Struthio camelus: one gene and its partner. The protein of the gene in region 2 interacts with the protein of the main gene of each other region in a biochemical or structural test. Links are inferred from orthologs where the notes say so. Each region holds a gene or a part of one and is shown on either strand. Other genes may lie near its edges.

Evidence for each region.
Region 1: the proteins of CEBPB (region 2) and CEBPG form a complex in vitro, tested with the Homo sapiens proteins (2 studies listed by BioGRID and IntAct, with this or other methods). The link is inferred for Struthio camelus from reciprocal best matches to the Homo sapiens genes CEBPB and CEBPG.

What each region holds. Positions count from the first base shown.
Region 1 is NC_090951.1:12,240,414-12,247,524, forward strand, and holds the start of CEBPG (CCAAT/enhancer-binding protein gamma), read right to left. Parts: upstream 3,064-7,111; 5' UTR 2,900-3,063; intron 2,570-2,899; exon of another isoform or gene 1,679-2,569; 5' UTR 1-1,678. UniProt on the Homo sapiens protein: Transcription factor that binds to the promoter and the enhancer regions of target genes. Binds to the enhancer element PRE-I (positive regulatory element-I) of the IL-4 gene. Binds to the promoter and the enhancer of the immunoglobulin heavy chain.
Region 2 is NC_090959.1:10,031,194-10,038,880, forward strand, and holds the start of CEBPB (CCAAT/enhancer-binding protein beta), read left to right. Parts: upstream 1-4,529; 5' UTR 4,530-4,817; coding exon 4,818-5,804; 3' UTR 5,805-6,928; intron 6,929-7,537; 3' UTR 7,538-7,687. UniProt on the Homo sapiens protein: Important transcription factor regulating the expression of genes involved in immune and inflammatory responses. Also plays a significant role in adipogenesis, as well as in the gluconeogenic pathway, liver regeneration, and hematopoiesis.

The DNA of each region.
Region 1 (7,111 bases), on a different chromosome or scaffold from region 2:
AACTTTTTCACTAATTTTTGGGATGTTTTCAAAGTTGGACAGAAGACTTTCCTATGCCCTCTGTTTCAACAAATTACAGTCCTTGTTAACTTCATCTGGACAGCCCAGTTAGGTAGTATGTGAGAAGTACCATTTTCACTAACTGCTTTTTTGTGCTTCATGAGATACTACAGAGGAAAGGGTGGCTTTTGCACCTGAAGGCACTCCACCCAAAGTTTAACGAGTTTCTTCACATCACCAGGTTCCACGTGTTATTTCTCTCTATGCTATCAAAACCATTTAATATTGCTTAAATATTTAAGATCTCTACCAAATTCCCATAATTCAAAGGAAAAGGATTTGTTCCATTAAACTAAATTTTAATGGAATACTTGAAATAAGTTTAGTTGGGCAGTATGTGGTTCTTAGCAGAGATGATGAACCAAGGCCTCTCACCTCTCAGGTAAACGTTCTGGCCATGAAGCACAGGTTATTCTGGAATAGATCTTCCTCAACTCCTTCCTACTGCAGCAGATCCATCCTGTATTAAATAGCTATTCCTTGAGGGAGACAGGTTCCTGTCTAGCCTGGTGATCGGAACACTTACCTGAGAGAGATGATACCTGGATGCCAGTCCTGCTCCAACTAATATTTGTACAAAGCAAGTAGCCCTAACTGTACTGCCTCCCAGATAACCCAAGAGCAATAACTGGCAATGCTGGAAACTACTCTTTTCCCCTGGGGTTGTTTGCAGGCTGGATCTATATTGCAAGTTTTCAGTTACACGACAGAACAACAGCATGGAAGGATATCCTCGATAACAACAGCTACGCTGGGGCATTCCGGGAATACTGCAAGGAGGTTTAAAGGCTGCAGCTAGGAGACATAAGGAAGAGGTTCTGAGGAAGCTGAGGTAAAGGACACGATAATTGGGGAAGAGCACGAGGAGGCAGCTGGGTCTCAGGTATCCTGCCACAGACACGCAGCTGCTCTTCTCCTCTCCAGGAACAGGTTAGTTTGCTGTGACTGGGCAATAGCCCCAGCATAGCAGGGGGCAGCTCCTTGGAGAGCCGGCTCAAGTTTCCTAGCATCTTGTTCCCATAAAGCAGCTGGTTAGCTTGAGCTCAGTGACAGCCCTAGGCTAGTTCCACCCAGCACATGTTAGCATTTCCAGTGGCCAGTTAAAACTGCTTTCTTCTCTCCTTGGGCCACCAATTGGCCCCCCAGGACACAAGCTGGCCACCCACTACAGCATAAAGCTGGTTTCTCAGAGGTGTCCTCTCAGGAAAATTTCTTACAGTCTGAAAGCGCTCCTCAGGGACTACAGAGACTCCCAAGCAAATCAAGACCTTTATTATCTTTGCTTTTCCAAAAGGGGGTGGGGGGGAGAAAGAAATTTAAACTTCCAAGTTTTTGTTTTGGGAGGGGAAAAAAGATGTTTTAATTTGTTAATTAAACCAGTTTGTTTTTTTTTTTTTTTTACTTAGCAGCAAAAAATATAAAGTGCTTCTCTCTGCTTCTTTTGCGACTCTGTTGACTCTGATCATTAGTCAGGATGACTTTACTGTACAAATTCGATCAGCTGTCTTGTCTATCCAGTGCAAAATCAGTCCAAATCTGAACAGCAATACGTGGCCTCCCTTGTCATTGACTTCAGTAGGAATACCCCAGTAGGATCTGACTCTAAATCCAGATGACCCTGTATAAAGAACAACAGCGTAAAACGCCCGGCGTGCGTTTGCTGAGCAGCGGAAAGGCCCAGCTCTGCACGGCCTCCTGCAACCTCTCGGCTCCCGGGCAAGCTAGCCAGAGCTGACGATAGCTCTCGCCTTCTGGACGGTAGGCGACGCTTCTTCAGAAGAGGGAGCCGAAATCTGTTATGCTGCCATAACAGGCAACGTTGCTTTCCTGTATTTTTCTCCCAACCTCCACTTTTTCCATGTACAAGAGAAATGCACTCCAGCATGTTTAAAAATATTTTGAAAAGCATCTAAAATATGCATGTCAATCACAGTCTAGCAAAACCAATGATGCAAGCCTCGCAAACCGTCTTGGATGCCAGGAGGCAAAACTACAGAGGTGTCAACTCGATTTTGATGAAAAACAATGCAGTTAACTATTTTTAAAGATGAGCTAATTCCTTGCCTCTTAAACTTTTTCAAAACGTACGTTTTTACACTTTCTGAGCAGGTGCTATAACCAGCAGGACATAACCTTGTGTTAAGTTGTCCGACTGACTGGCAAGGTGTTTCCTAGCAGGTGTTGCAACAAAATACTTAAAAGTCAAGGCCTGTGTTTTCTGAAAGCTGCGTATGGGGCTATAAAAGCTCATCTGGGAGCCAGAAAGATATTTTAAAGGTACTGAAAAACTCCCCTGAGGAGCTAAAAGAGAAAAACAGGAGTTGTCAGGAGCGCTGTCTCTTAGGGCAGCGCGAGGCGGGCGCTGAGGCGTTGAGAAACCTGCGCAGCGAACTCGCTGCCCTCTCCAGCAGGCAGAACGACATCAGCGGCGTTTCGGGAAAAAATCCCTGTTCACAGGCCTTTTATCCCTGAACAACGCGAAGCCGTTAACGGCCGCGGCGACTCCGTCCCCACCGGGCGGCGGCCTTCCCTCAGCGCCCCGCCGCCGCCTCAGCGCGGGGCCCCGGCCGCGCCGCCCCCCGCCCCGCCCCGCCCCGCCCCGCCCCGCCGGCGGCCCCGCCCCCTCCTCGCCCCGCCCCGCCCCGCGCGCCGCCGCCGCCGGGGGGAGGGGAAGAGAGGGGAGGGGAGGGGAGGCGGCGAGCGCCGGGCCCGCGCAGCGCGGGGCCGCCCGGCCGTTGCATCATGCGCGGCGGCAGCGCCGCTCCGCGCGCGCCCCCCCCCCGCGGCATCCCCGCGGCCCCCCCCCCTCCCCGCAGCGCGCCCCGCGGCCGGCGCTTACCTGGCCCGGCTGCGGCTCCGGTAGCGGCCGCGGGAGAGGCGGGCGGGCGGGCGGGGAGGGGGCGCGGGCCGGGCCCGAGTCTCTTTCTTTAAAGTGTTGAGTGCGAGCGAGCGGCGATTGCGAAACCCTCCGCGCGCTGCTCCCGCCCCCTCGCCGCCCGCCAATGGGCGGCGAGGGTCCCGCCGGGGCATGATGCAATCCCCGCCCGGATTGGCAGCGGGCGCGGCCAATCAGGCCCCCGTCAACACTCTTAAAGGGAGAGGCCGTGTTTTTCCGTGGGGAGGTCGCGCGCCCCGCGGCGGTGGGCAGGCCCCGGCCCCCAGCGGGCGCCGTGGCCGTGGCCGTGGCCGTCCCTCGGGGAAGGCCCCGGCCGGAGCTGCGCGCCGGTGTCGCCCGTGCCGTCACCCACGCGCGGGCCCGGCGCCCCTGGGCTCCTCCCGAAGCGGCCGCCATGCGAGGCTAGAGCGGCTCTTGGCAACAGGAGTGACGATAAACTCCTAAAATGCCGTGGGTTATGAGTTGCTGCTCAAAAACTTCCCACCCAGGGAAGGGGGCTAGAAACAGGAAGGGGGAGTGCGGTGTCGTGGAGAGATTGCGCACGGCTTATGCTGGCGTATCTTTGCTTCTTCTAAAATATTTTTGTTTATTTCTAGAGAAGGAATTTTTGGGCCTTAAAACTTTTCCAACCGTGTTGGAACTGCCTTAGCGTGTGCGCTGTGACGACAGGCGCCCACGTCTCCGCAGTTGTACGTGCCTGAAGCGTGGTTTAGCGCTTTGCATGGAAAAGGTGTACAGCGGCGCACAGGTGTATGCGTTTGCAGTAGGAAAGCTGTCAACATGCAAGGTAGTCGAGGTTTGAGCAGGCTCAGGTGTGTGGGCATCCAGAAGAACAGTGTGGGAAAAGAGCTTTTGTTTAAGTGCGGAGAGGAAAAGTTTCAATGTGTGCGCCACGCCGGTGCAACGTAGACCTGTCTGTGAAGCATGTGCTACGTCCGCAAAAGAAGAGCGGGAAGAATCAGATTTGTAAGCATAGTTGCAGCGTTCAGTAAAGCAGATGTAATAATTTGTTATTTGCCATTTTTGTGGCCGTCTGACGTTGTGTGGGTTTTATGTTGTTGTTTTCGTAAAGCCTTGAGGAAAATAAACCTCCTTTGCAGAAGAATTTGGGGCAGTTTGTCTGGGCAGTTTTACTCAGCTCGTTACTATGAAGATACTGTTTCCGTGTCAGTCATCAAGTATGTGTTTTAACATCTCTAATTTTTTTTTATTTGTCAGTTGAAACTGCTACGTTTTCTCTGATGGTGACTCATCCACCTATAACTAGAGCAAAGATTCCAGGTAAGCATTAAACATTATCCTCTGTTTATAACAGTTAAGTAAGTGTGTGCTCTTAGAGCGCTTTCCTGGGATTGTAGAGCACTTTATGACCATTCATTAATCTTCCTCAAAGAAAACTGAGGAAAATACAATGTAGACCTACTCATTCTCATAGAGTCTGAAACTTTAAACCTTAAAGCACACACATAAGTAGCTCCAGCACTTGGTTGGCATTGTATCCTGTCACATGAAAACCATCACACAGTGTGCTTAAGAGTTTGTAAGATGAATTCATTTCTTCTCACAGTGTTGCAGTAACAATAGAATATGATGGGAAAAGTCTAAAAAGTAATCACAAAAATACATGGACATCTACTCTTCAGACATGATATGGAAGCATACACCTTACCTGCTTGTTCACAAGTTACTTCAGCCGTGCAGTAGCTCTGGGTTTCAGCATCATAAGCCGACCAGTCCCTGCTGGGGTGGAACCCTTTTCACTCTGGTTCTAGATGGGTTCCCATAGCAACACTACCCACGAGACTGTACTTAATAGTATCTTATTATCTGTAATAGTATCTTATTCTCACCTGTATAATCCAATCTAATCACTCTTTAAAAGGTTCTGTTCCTTAAAAAAAAAAAAAAAAGACATTCAGCATTCTCAAATAACCTACAGAAAATCACAGTTAGAGGCAGAAAAGCAATTGGAAGAAGACAGTGTCTGTGGGAATCAGAAGCAGAAAGTGTAAAGGGAAGAGGAGTCTCTTGGGGTGACTGTCCCTGTTTATTACCCACTATGTATGAGTCACACTACTGATAAATTGGTTTGGGGAGTATTACAGGTAACCAGAGGTTATACACGTTATACTGCAGTGATATTGCACTGCAAAGCTCAGTATGTTCCCTTAACCCTTACAGATACATTTAAGAAGTTCTCTGCAACCTTCCACTTACAGTCTGTGAAAGCTATTTTGTCTCTCTTGAATCACTTTTATTTTGTGTCTGATTCCAGTGTTTCTGCTTGTTCTTCCTGAACTGTTAATTCTTTATCCTAAAATAAAAAAACATACAAACATACTGGACTACAACCTACACTTCAAAAGATTTTTTTTTTTTCCTGTAAGCCTTCAGTTCTTTGCCTCCATTTCTCTCCTGGTTAGTCTTCACTGGACCTTTTACTTCAGACTTGCACATTTCTGTTGATGGTTTACCTTTCACACATGATGTTACTGTATAGTTTTTCTTCTGGTCTAACCTCTGTGCATTTTGAATTCTTCTAGAAGAGAATTCAATCATTTGTTTTCCTGTGATTTGGAACACTGGCAATTAAATGTTTTTAATATAACAGTGAATACTTTTTAATATTTTACAAACAGAAATATATAGGCCCCTTGGGTAAAAAGACACAGTGCCCAGCTGTGATGTAAGGTATACTAATGTATTTGAAGGCAAATATACTAGAAGATGCCAAAACCTTCTGTCTTTCTGTAGAAGTCTTCTAGAAGCTGAAGGGACACAGATCTGTAATTCCCCCCTCCCACCATTTAGTGTTTCAATTTTAATCATCCAAATAGAGCTGTGTCGTAACAGAATATTGAACAAATAATAAGAAAGCAGCAGTGTGCTTCTGTCTGTTCTGACATGGAAGAAAGAGAACAAAAAGAAAAGTTAGCTCACATTTGCTATTGCGAGTCTTGTTTAAAAAGGTTTTCTTAGTAACTGTTACCCCTGCTCTCTCAACGTAGATTTGTTCAAAGCTAGATAGAATTTCTTGAATGTGATCACATTCCTGGTGTTCACCGAGTGGATGGCATTCTTTCAGGGGTATCCCAGAAATAGTCTGTAATAAAGGTTCTCCCTAATCTTAAGATTGTAAAACTGTCGTCTTGTGATAGTTTTTGCACCTTGGTATTACAATAATTATTGCTTGTATTCAGGACTGACCTACACCAAGATCAAAATAATGTTAGAAATCTAGATTTGGTATAGCTGAGGTTATAAAAGCTCCAGAAAGCAAAAGGGCTGCTGAGTTTAATGTATCAATCAGGAATCTGGCTCTGTCAGAAATCTGCATTTCAAAAAATGAGATTCAGAAAGAAAGAAAGGGAAAAAAGCTCTTATCAATACCTCTGTTTTTTCATTTGTTTGAAAAAGCTTACACTTGAAAAGCACAGAATTTCTGAGTAGTTTCTCAGTCAGATTTGGTAGAAACCAAATGGTTTAAATAGTAGAAACTTGTCTATTAATAGATTATTTGTCAGTAACAGCCTTTATGAATAGGTGAAGAGAAAGGAGAGGAAGCATTGCTTAGTGGTGGTCACTATTTCAGGACTGCGTTTCTAGTTCTAGCACTGACTCACTATAGCCTTGGAAAGTTGCAGTGCTTTTGTTCTAGAAAATACTAAGTAAAGAAAGGAACCATTCTATTCTAATAGCAAACATCCATTTTATTGTAACGCTGCCTGGCGTTCGTTTACAGGAAAAAGCCAGTGCCTTTGTTCTTTCTCTCTATGTAGCTAATAATTTTTGCAACAAAGTATTTACAGTTTCTGATTCTCCTACTGCATCTTCCAACTCTATTTGCAGTTATCAAAATATCAAAGTTACCAGAATGTCTAGAGTAAATCGTACTGCTTTATGAAAGAGACTAACTCAGTTACTTGTGCAGAATAAAGGGAATGTTTCCCAGAAGGAGAGGGACCAGCAAGCCAACAGCTGTTTGCTTTGCCCCCACGTCTTCTCTAGCTCTTTTAGCATCAGCTAGCTGCGTAGGTGAAGGAGCCATTTATGCCCATTTTTTTAGGTTTATGTTTTCATATGTTATTTTGGTTGGTAGGCTTGGTTTTTTGTTTTTTGTTTTTTTTTTAACCATTGAACGTGAGAGGTCTCTGT
Region 2 (7,687 bases):
AACACAAAGCCACCTCTTATTATACTTGCTCAAAGAGGAAGGAGTAAAGACAGTAGCTGCTGCTTTGCACCGCTCCCCCTCACGGGCATTCGTGTGCACCCTGCCTCTCTGCTCTCTCGCAGAGCCCCAGAGTGGGTGCTCTGACCTGCAATCTGCTCTGGAAAATTTTCCGTCTGGTAGGAGAAGGTATTTTGCTCATGTTGTCCCACCGGCTGGAGGCACCAGTGCCAATCTCCAGGTGTCGTCTCTGCAGCACCCGGTAGGGCAAAGAGCAGCAAGTAGATAAAGCAGGGATTGAGCAACCTACCACTGCAAAGGCCAAGCATGCCGGGTCAGAGGTGAGCAGAAAATAAGCAGAAGACTAACAAATACCCGAGCATCATCATGTCACATGGGAGCAAGGGGTGAGGGAGCACTGAGTCAGGGGGAGGACTCTGTGCTGCAACGAAAGAACCGCACGAGGCCAGGAGACCTGGCCGCAGCGGGCAGCCGAACAACCTGCCATGGGAGCTTGCAATGCTGAATACAAAAGCTGGAGTTCAAAGAGAGAGGGGACCAGGTGCCCACAGTTTTTTATTTCAAAATAAGGCAAAATCTCAGGTCTGAGAAGTAGGGGAGACAGAAGGAAAGCCAGCCTCTTCCTAAGTTGAGACATTGTCTCTATCTGATGTTGATACAGTGGAGCAGGGTGAGTGCAAAGCAATAGCCTGAAATTCGGCCTCTACCAGGTACAGCGCTTGAGTTTTTGCTGGCATAAGGTTGGCAGCTGCATAAAAAAGGACCTGGGGCCAGGAAGAAGGAAAAGGCAGAGCACAGAACATGCTCAGAAATAAACTTCCATTTTACTTCTCTATTTTTCAGCTTTTATTACAGCATGGCTCCACTTAAGTCAGCCTCTCAGACAAGATCACCTCCTACCCCCCAGCAAGCTCCCCAGGTCGCCCCCGTGCTCTCCCAGGCTCTCCCGAAAGCCATTACACTCTCTTCTTTAACTCACCTCCAACACACTGTCTGCAACACCTTGTTCACTGGTGCACGCCATCAACTTCTGGCATTAACCTCTTCCCTCTTAGCCCCTCTTCTGCTCCTGAACATCTTGTTTTTGGACCGCAGATCTCTGGGCGAGCTGCGTGTTCGCACCATGCTTACCATGCTGCAGCACTGATCTGACTGATCTGCTAGCAATTACTGCAAGGCAAATAACACATGAGAGAAGTCTGCAGCAAGAAGCATCAAAATTATAGCCAACTTTTTCCTAGCGTACAATCCCCAATCCATAGACCTTCTTACAAACACTTCAGTGTATGATGTGTCACTATTAAACTGGTATCTTCTCCTCTAGGCTGATGTCCTTCAGGGACAGCTGCTGTAACCTAGAGGGCAGGACTGGAGAGCTTGTAAGAAATAGTGGAAAAGAAGACAATTTCCAGAAAGAAGATGCCTCTACAACGCTTTAGTGTAGGGTTGAGCCTAGAGCTGGAAAATTGTGGCTTTACAGTACAGAAGGGAAACTGGAGGGCAGAATCTAAGTCCTGACAGAAATGAGCAGTGAATAAGAGATTCTTCCCTCCACCTTTTCCTCTTTCTGGTATCAGTGTGCTACCCTTCCAGTATTTATATTGTTTTACGCATGAATCCGGAAGCATCTGGATTTTATTGCATCAGAAAAAAAATTTTTTTTGCTCAAAAATGTTGATGTTCTAACTAAGTAATCTGTGAATGATGCCGTCTCCTTCCCCAGTTGACTAGTTCTGAAAAGGGAAATCATGAAATCATTAGAAAGCAGGCGCTTTTGACAAAATATTGACTTTCTGCTGAAGGTTGCTCTGTCAGGACACCCATTGCAAAAGTGCTCTCACCCTCAGGTATTTCACAGGGTGACACCAGTACCTGGACCCCTCAACCAAGAAATGTCTGCACCTCAATTTCTGCCTAAAGTATCTCTCTAAAGCGAAGGCTTTTGGGGAGGATTAGTAGCCCGTGCACATCTGGCCAGGCCAGGCCACAGCAGTCTCAGGGACAGGACTGAGTGTGCTCAGGCCCCTGCCCAGGCTGCCTGGGACAATCCTCCGCAGTGTGCGCCTTGCTCTGCACCTGCTCACGCTTCCAAAACCCCATTTCTGGCCATGCATTTGTTATGACAAGTGCAAAAACAAATTAAAAGACACAAGAGTTAGCTCAAAACTGGCTTGCTGAATGTGAGGGTTTTGGATAAGTGGTTAATTCCGCCAACAAGGTTCCCATGAGAAGTTGTGACTGGATGTTGCTTCCCCGTGAGTGGCTGCTGGGCTTTGAGGTGAGCTGGAGGAAGTTTAAAGAGATGCAGGGACAGTGCGGAGGTGAGGGGGGAGACGGGATGGAGGCGACAAGCTGGGCATCCAGCCTCAATTCCTGTGCTGGCTGACGTGTGATCTCCGTGAGTACAGAATTACTCAGCGCGGGCCTGGAAAGGAGGTGTGGGCCATACCATCTCTGATACAATCTCTTTCACATGATAGTTGCACAGACATTTTGTTAGGGAAGATCGGCCTAGGCTCAGGTACAACTTTCTGCTACAGAGCAGCAGCAAATAGGGCAGCAGGTCAAAGAAAGCAAATGTGAGATCCCCAGAAACATCTTGAAAATTTGCCCAGGAGATTTACCAGTTTTAATGTTCAGTTTTAGCTAACGGCCACGGTAAGCTAGAGATCTGCCAAAGACCAAACATGCATTTCGGGGAGCCATCACTGTAGGAGACCACCTGCTTGTGAGTCCCTCTGCTTGGAGGTAGAAAGCACGTGAGAGCAATTTCCACGAGTTCAGTTGCAAGGGCCAGTTACAGCAGCCGTTGCCTATAACTGCCAGATGAGAACGCAGGATAAAGACATAGAAGAAAAGAGTAAACTGCCAGAAGAACGAGCCCCGGCTCACTACAACTTGCCAGCATTTGCACCTAATACAGATGTTTGTCTTCATGAAGGTATGGGCTGCAGCTACAACCTGCAGACCAGATCTCTGGCCAGGCCCAGCTCCAGTTTAATCTCTGGTGCACTCACCAAAGATTAGCCTGGTAGATAAAGATGGAACTAGAAATATTTGAAGTCTGCAAACCTGTTAGGGTACTTTCATTATGGAAAGAAAAAGCCATTGAAAATGTGAAAAGAAAAAGAAAAGAGGAGAAAAAAGAAAAGAAAGAAAAGCCTGATGGTCTACTGACTGATTTCTGAATTCTTCCTCTTTTCAAAGTTTTGAGGTTTGAACATTATGAACAGTTGACTGTTTGAATCGCATAATGCAATACCTGTTCCTCTGGCTTAACGTTACAGTATTTCCCACACCGCAGGATTGCTTCACATTATTCTGAGAGGCAGTGTCATTTTCCCTGCAGTGCTAGGCCTTCTTTACTAAGGCGAAGGACACTCCTACTTCCTTTAATTATATGTTTTGTTTTAAATTAATGTCCTTTATTCTGGGGATGAATCACCAGCTTGTAGACAGGTAAATGTGGGAGTAAGAGAGAGAAAATATAAGTTTGATTCCCAAGGTGGGTGTCTTTAATTAAAAACGGACATCAAGATTCAGTCTTCCTTCCTAAACTTACCCTGCAATTCTAAAAACACGTGGATTCCATGTTTCTATGCACGTATCTCACTTTCCTTCTGAATCACTTTAAATACGGCCCCCTTCGGTTTCAGAGCACAAATTCCCTATCACTTGTGTACCCTGACAGTTGCACCATATCATGTAAAGTAAATACGCCAAGACAAACGTTAAGGCCATCATCCCTGCGTGAAGAGGTGGGGAGGGGAGCGCAGGGTTTGCTCAGCTCTCTAACCGCTCATAGCCGCAAGAAGGAAGTCTGGAGCAGCGCCGTGTCCTGCTCCAGCTCCATTTCACCGAGTTCCCTGCTGGCTGTTGTAAAGTGGTTCGGAGCACGTCTCTATGGGACAGTTTTGCCTGCCAGTGGGATTTACTTGATTAAACATTGGCCGGAGAATAACAGGATCTGTCTTCTATTTGCAGCTTTTTCCCTGCCTTGGCAAAAGAACTCGGAAAAATCCCTCCTGCCTTGATTTCCCCAAGGGTAAAACAGGACCCAAACGGGATTTGCACCCACCTCTGCACGGCACTTTCCGCCCTACAGCACTAAACCCTACTCTCAGGTGCAAAAGATCCAGCCTGTACTGGCACGACGGCGGCAGCAGCGTCTCAGGACGGGCGACACTCGTGTGTGTCCACGTCCCGCAGACCCTCCAGGGGCGAGTAGCGTCCACTGACCTCTCGTGCAGATTTTACAACAGCTCAGAAAAATCAGCCGGCAGGAAGAAAGGTTGCCCTGCTCTTTCTCTTACCTGCAGGACTGTGCGAGTAAGTCCCCTCCCTCAAAAGCCAACCCTGTTTTATTCCGGGTGGCTAGGTACAGTCGCACACGCACACACCCCCCAAGTGCCTCCTGCGGGGCCAGCGCCAGCGGTTGCGAAGTGTGCAGCGTGGCAGGCGGCCAGGCGCTGACGTTCCTGTTGCTATGGGATCCACCGCCCCTATAAATAACTGAGCAAAGGAACTTTCCTAAGTCAGAGACTTTAGGACACGGGACCCAGAACCAGATGGTCCGGAGGCGAAACGCCGGCTCGAGTAGCACCAGCAGGAGCGGTAAAGCCCCGCCGTGCCGCAGGAACTGATCCAGCCCCGGTGCTGGGCAGCGCAGCTGGGGGCCGTACCCAGCACCAGAGACTGAGGCAGGGTTTGGAGCCCCCCACCGCAACGGCGGCAGCTTGATCCTCTGCCGGGGGGGGCCCCTGCGCTGTTTTCTCCTCCCTGCATCCCTCTTTGCTTTCATGCAACGCCTGGTGGCCTGGGACGCAGCATGCCTCCCCATCCAGCCACCCGCCTTTAAATCCATGGAAGTGGCTAATTTCTATTACGAGGCGGACTGTCTGGCTGCTCTGAACAAGCTGCACCCGCGGGCGGTCGGGGGCCGCTCCATGACCGAGCTCACCGTCGGGGACCACGAGAGAGCCATCGACTTCAGCCCCTACCTGGACCCCTTAGCATCCCAGCAGCCGGCGCAGCCGCCTCCTCCCGCAGCAGCAGCAGGGGGCAACTTTGAGCCTGCCTGCAGCAGCGGCGGCGGCCAAGATTTCCTTTCCGATCTCTTCGCCGAGGACTATAAAGGCAGCGGCGGCAGCAAGAAGCCCGACTACACCTACATCAGCCTCGCCCGGCACAGCCACCCCTGCGCCAGCCAGAGCCACAAGCCGGGGGGGCTGCCGGGCTGCTTCCCGCCCCAGATCGTGGAGACCAAAGTGGAGCCGGTCTTCGAGACCCTGGACTCTTGCAAGGGGCCCCGTAAGGAAGAAGGGGGAGCCGGGCCGGGACCGGGGGGCATGTCCTCTCCCTACGGCAGCACCGTGCGCTCCTACCTGGGTTACCAGTCGGTGCCGAGCGGCAGCAGCGGGAACCTGTCCACCTCGTCCTCCTCCAGCCCCCCCGGCACCCCCAACCCCTCCGAGTCCTCCAAGTCGGCCGCCGCCGGCGGGGGCTACTCCGGCCCCCCGGCGGGCAAGAGCAAGCCCAAGAAGTGCGTGGACAAGCACAGCGACGAGTACAAGCTGCGCCGGGAGCGGAACAACATCGCGGTGCGCAAGAGCCGCGACAAAGCCAAAATGCGCAACCTGGAGACGCAGCACAAAGTCTTGGAACTGACGGCCGAGAACGAGCGGCTGCAGAAGAAGGTGGAGCAGCTCTCCCGGGAGCTGAGCACCCTCAGGAACTTGTTCAAACAGCTGCCCGAGCCCCTGCTCGCCTCCTCGCCGCGCTGCTGACCCCCGCGCCGGGCCGGGCCGCGCCGCCGCCGGCTCCCTCCTCTCGGGCCGGGAGAGGAGGAGAGCCCGGGGGGCGGATTGGTTCTGTTTTCGGGGTTTTTTTTTTGTTTTTCTTTTTTTTTTTTTGGTCTTTATTTACGTGTGGGCGGAAGGCCCCGCCACGGCGAGCTGCCGCGCGGGCTGCCCGCGGGGGCCCCGGCCCCGGCCCCGGCCCCGGCCCCGGGCGGGCTCCGCAGGCGGCGGGGCGCGGGGGTTATTTAAAACGGCGAGAGGAGAGCGAGGGCAGAGTGATGCAATCCTTTAAGCATGGCTGGGAATGCTGTGTACATGATGCAATCTCGTGTAACTGTCAGTCATGAATTGAGTAATCTGTTAAAGATGTTCCTACAGTTTTTTTTTTTTTATTATAAAGAATAATCTATTTCTATAAGAAAATACATATGTATATTTTGGGATCTATGCATTCTTGCTACATTTGAAGCATTAATGAACAATTTTAATAAACTTTATGACTAGGTTAAAAAAGTAGCTTGTTTTATTTTGAGAGCACGTTTAAAGTGAGATTAGAGACAGAGCTGAAAATCTAGCTCAATCTGGCTCAATGCTGAGATCAAGGACCAAGATTTTTTTTTGGTCTTTTGACTTTCTCTGTAACTCAGCAAAAAAAAAAAAAGGAGGGGGAGGGGGACGAAAAAAAAAAAAAAGACCTAGCAAAGAGCAGAGCTGGGAGCTTTAGCCAGTTCTTTCTTGCTGCCTCTTCTTATTTCCTCTTATCACTTGCTTTAGCTGCAGCTTGGGGGTTGTTTGGGGAGAAAGTGTTTGTTTTGGGGTTTTTTGCAATTCTCGCTGTTCTTGGTGTGTAGAGACGTGCTGTCCAAAGCGTGAGCAGTACCTAGCAAAGCAATGCCAAGTCTGAAGTGGGAGGGAGGAAGAAAAAAGTAAGGAAGGAAGTTTGAAATGAGTTGTTGTTGTTTTTTTTTCCTTTAAGGAGTGTCTATTCTCCAAGTTACAATTCAGCATTTCTTGTGTTTGTAGTTTACAGGAATAAACATGAGGAAGTAGCATATCTGTTGGATGTCAGTAATTTGGTCAAGGCTGAGAAAGCTTGCATGAAACCTGGCCAGGTGAGAGGCGCTTGAATAACTCTCCCTAGTACTTTCTCTTGAGACTTTTTAAAAAATGTTTCTAAAAACCGTGGGTAGAGTTTCTCCGTTGAAAGCTGTTTGTTTATGTGTGCATGCGTGTTTGCTGGGGCAAAACAACAGATAACGTGTGGGGGTGGCAGAAAAGGAGGAACTTGCAATAGGCCATAACTTTGTTTCAAAGAGCAATAAGGCTTTGCTGCCGCTACGGAGCCCGACTTGCCAAGGCCCCCGAGCCGTGTATTTCCTGACTCCCCACTGTTCGCTGCTGTGTGGATGTCTGTAAAAAGTTAACCGTCTTGAGCTGGTTACATGGAGGGAGTTGAGCAAATGATCAAATCTTACTCAGCATTTTCCATTTTCCTGTTAGGCCAAATTTAACCACTAAGTTTTAAAATCTGGATTCCCAGTGCCCCGCAAAAGAAATTTCCTCACTGTCTATACTCTGTTTGACAGCTGAATAGAGAATATATTTTTTTAAACAAAAAAGTAGATTTGAATTTGCTGCTGTATATTCCAATATAAAGAGTAATTTTTGCAATTCTCAATGCAGAAAAAGGAAAAATCTTGATTTTGATTGCTTACTTCTAGCGTTTCTTTAAACAAAGCATGAGTTCTGCTGAAGGAACTGTTCTACATTTTTGACACTTAGGATCTTCTCCTCCTCCGGCAGGTAAATCTCCCAGAGCTCTTACTAAAATATGTTTTGTGTTGCCTGCTTCCGCTATGCCTCCATAGCTG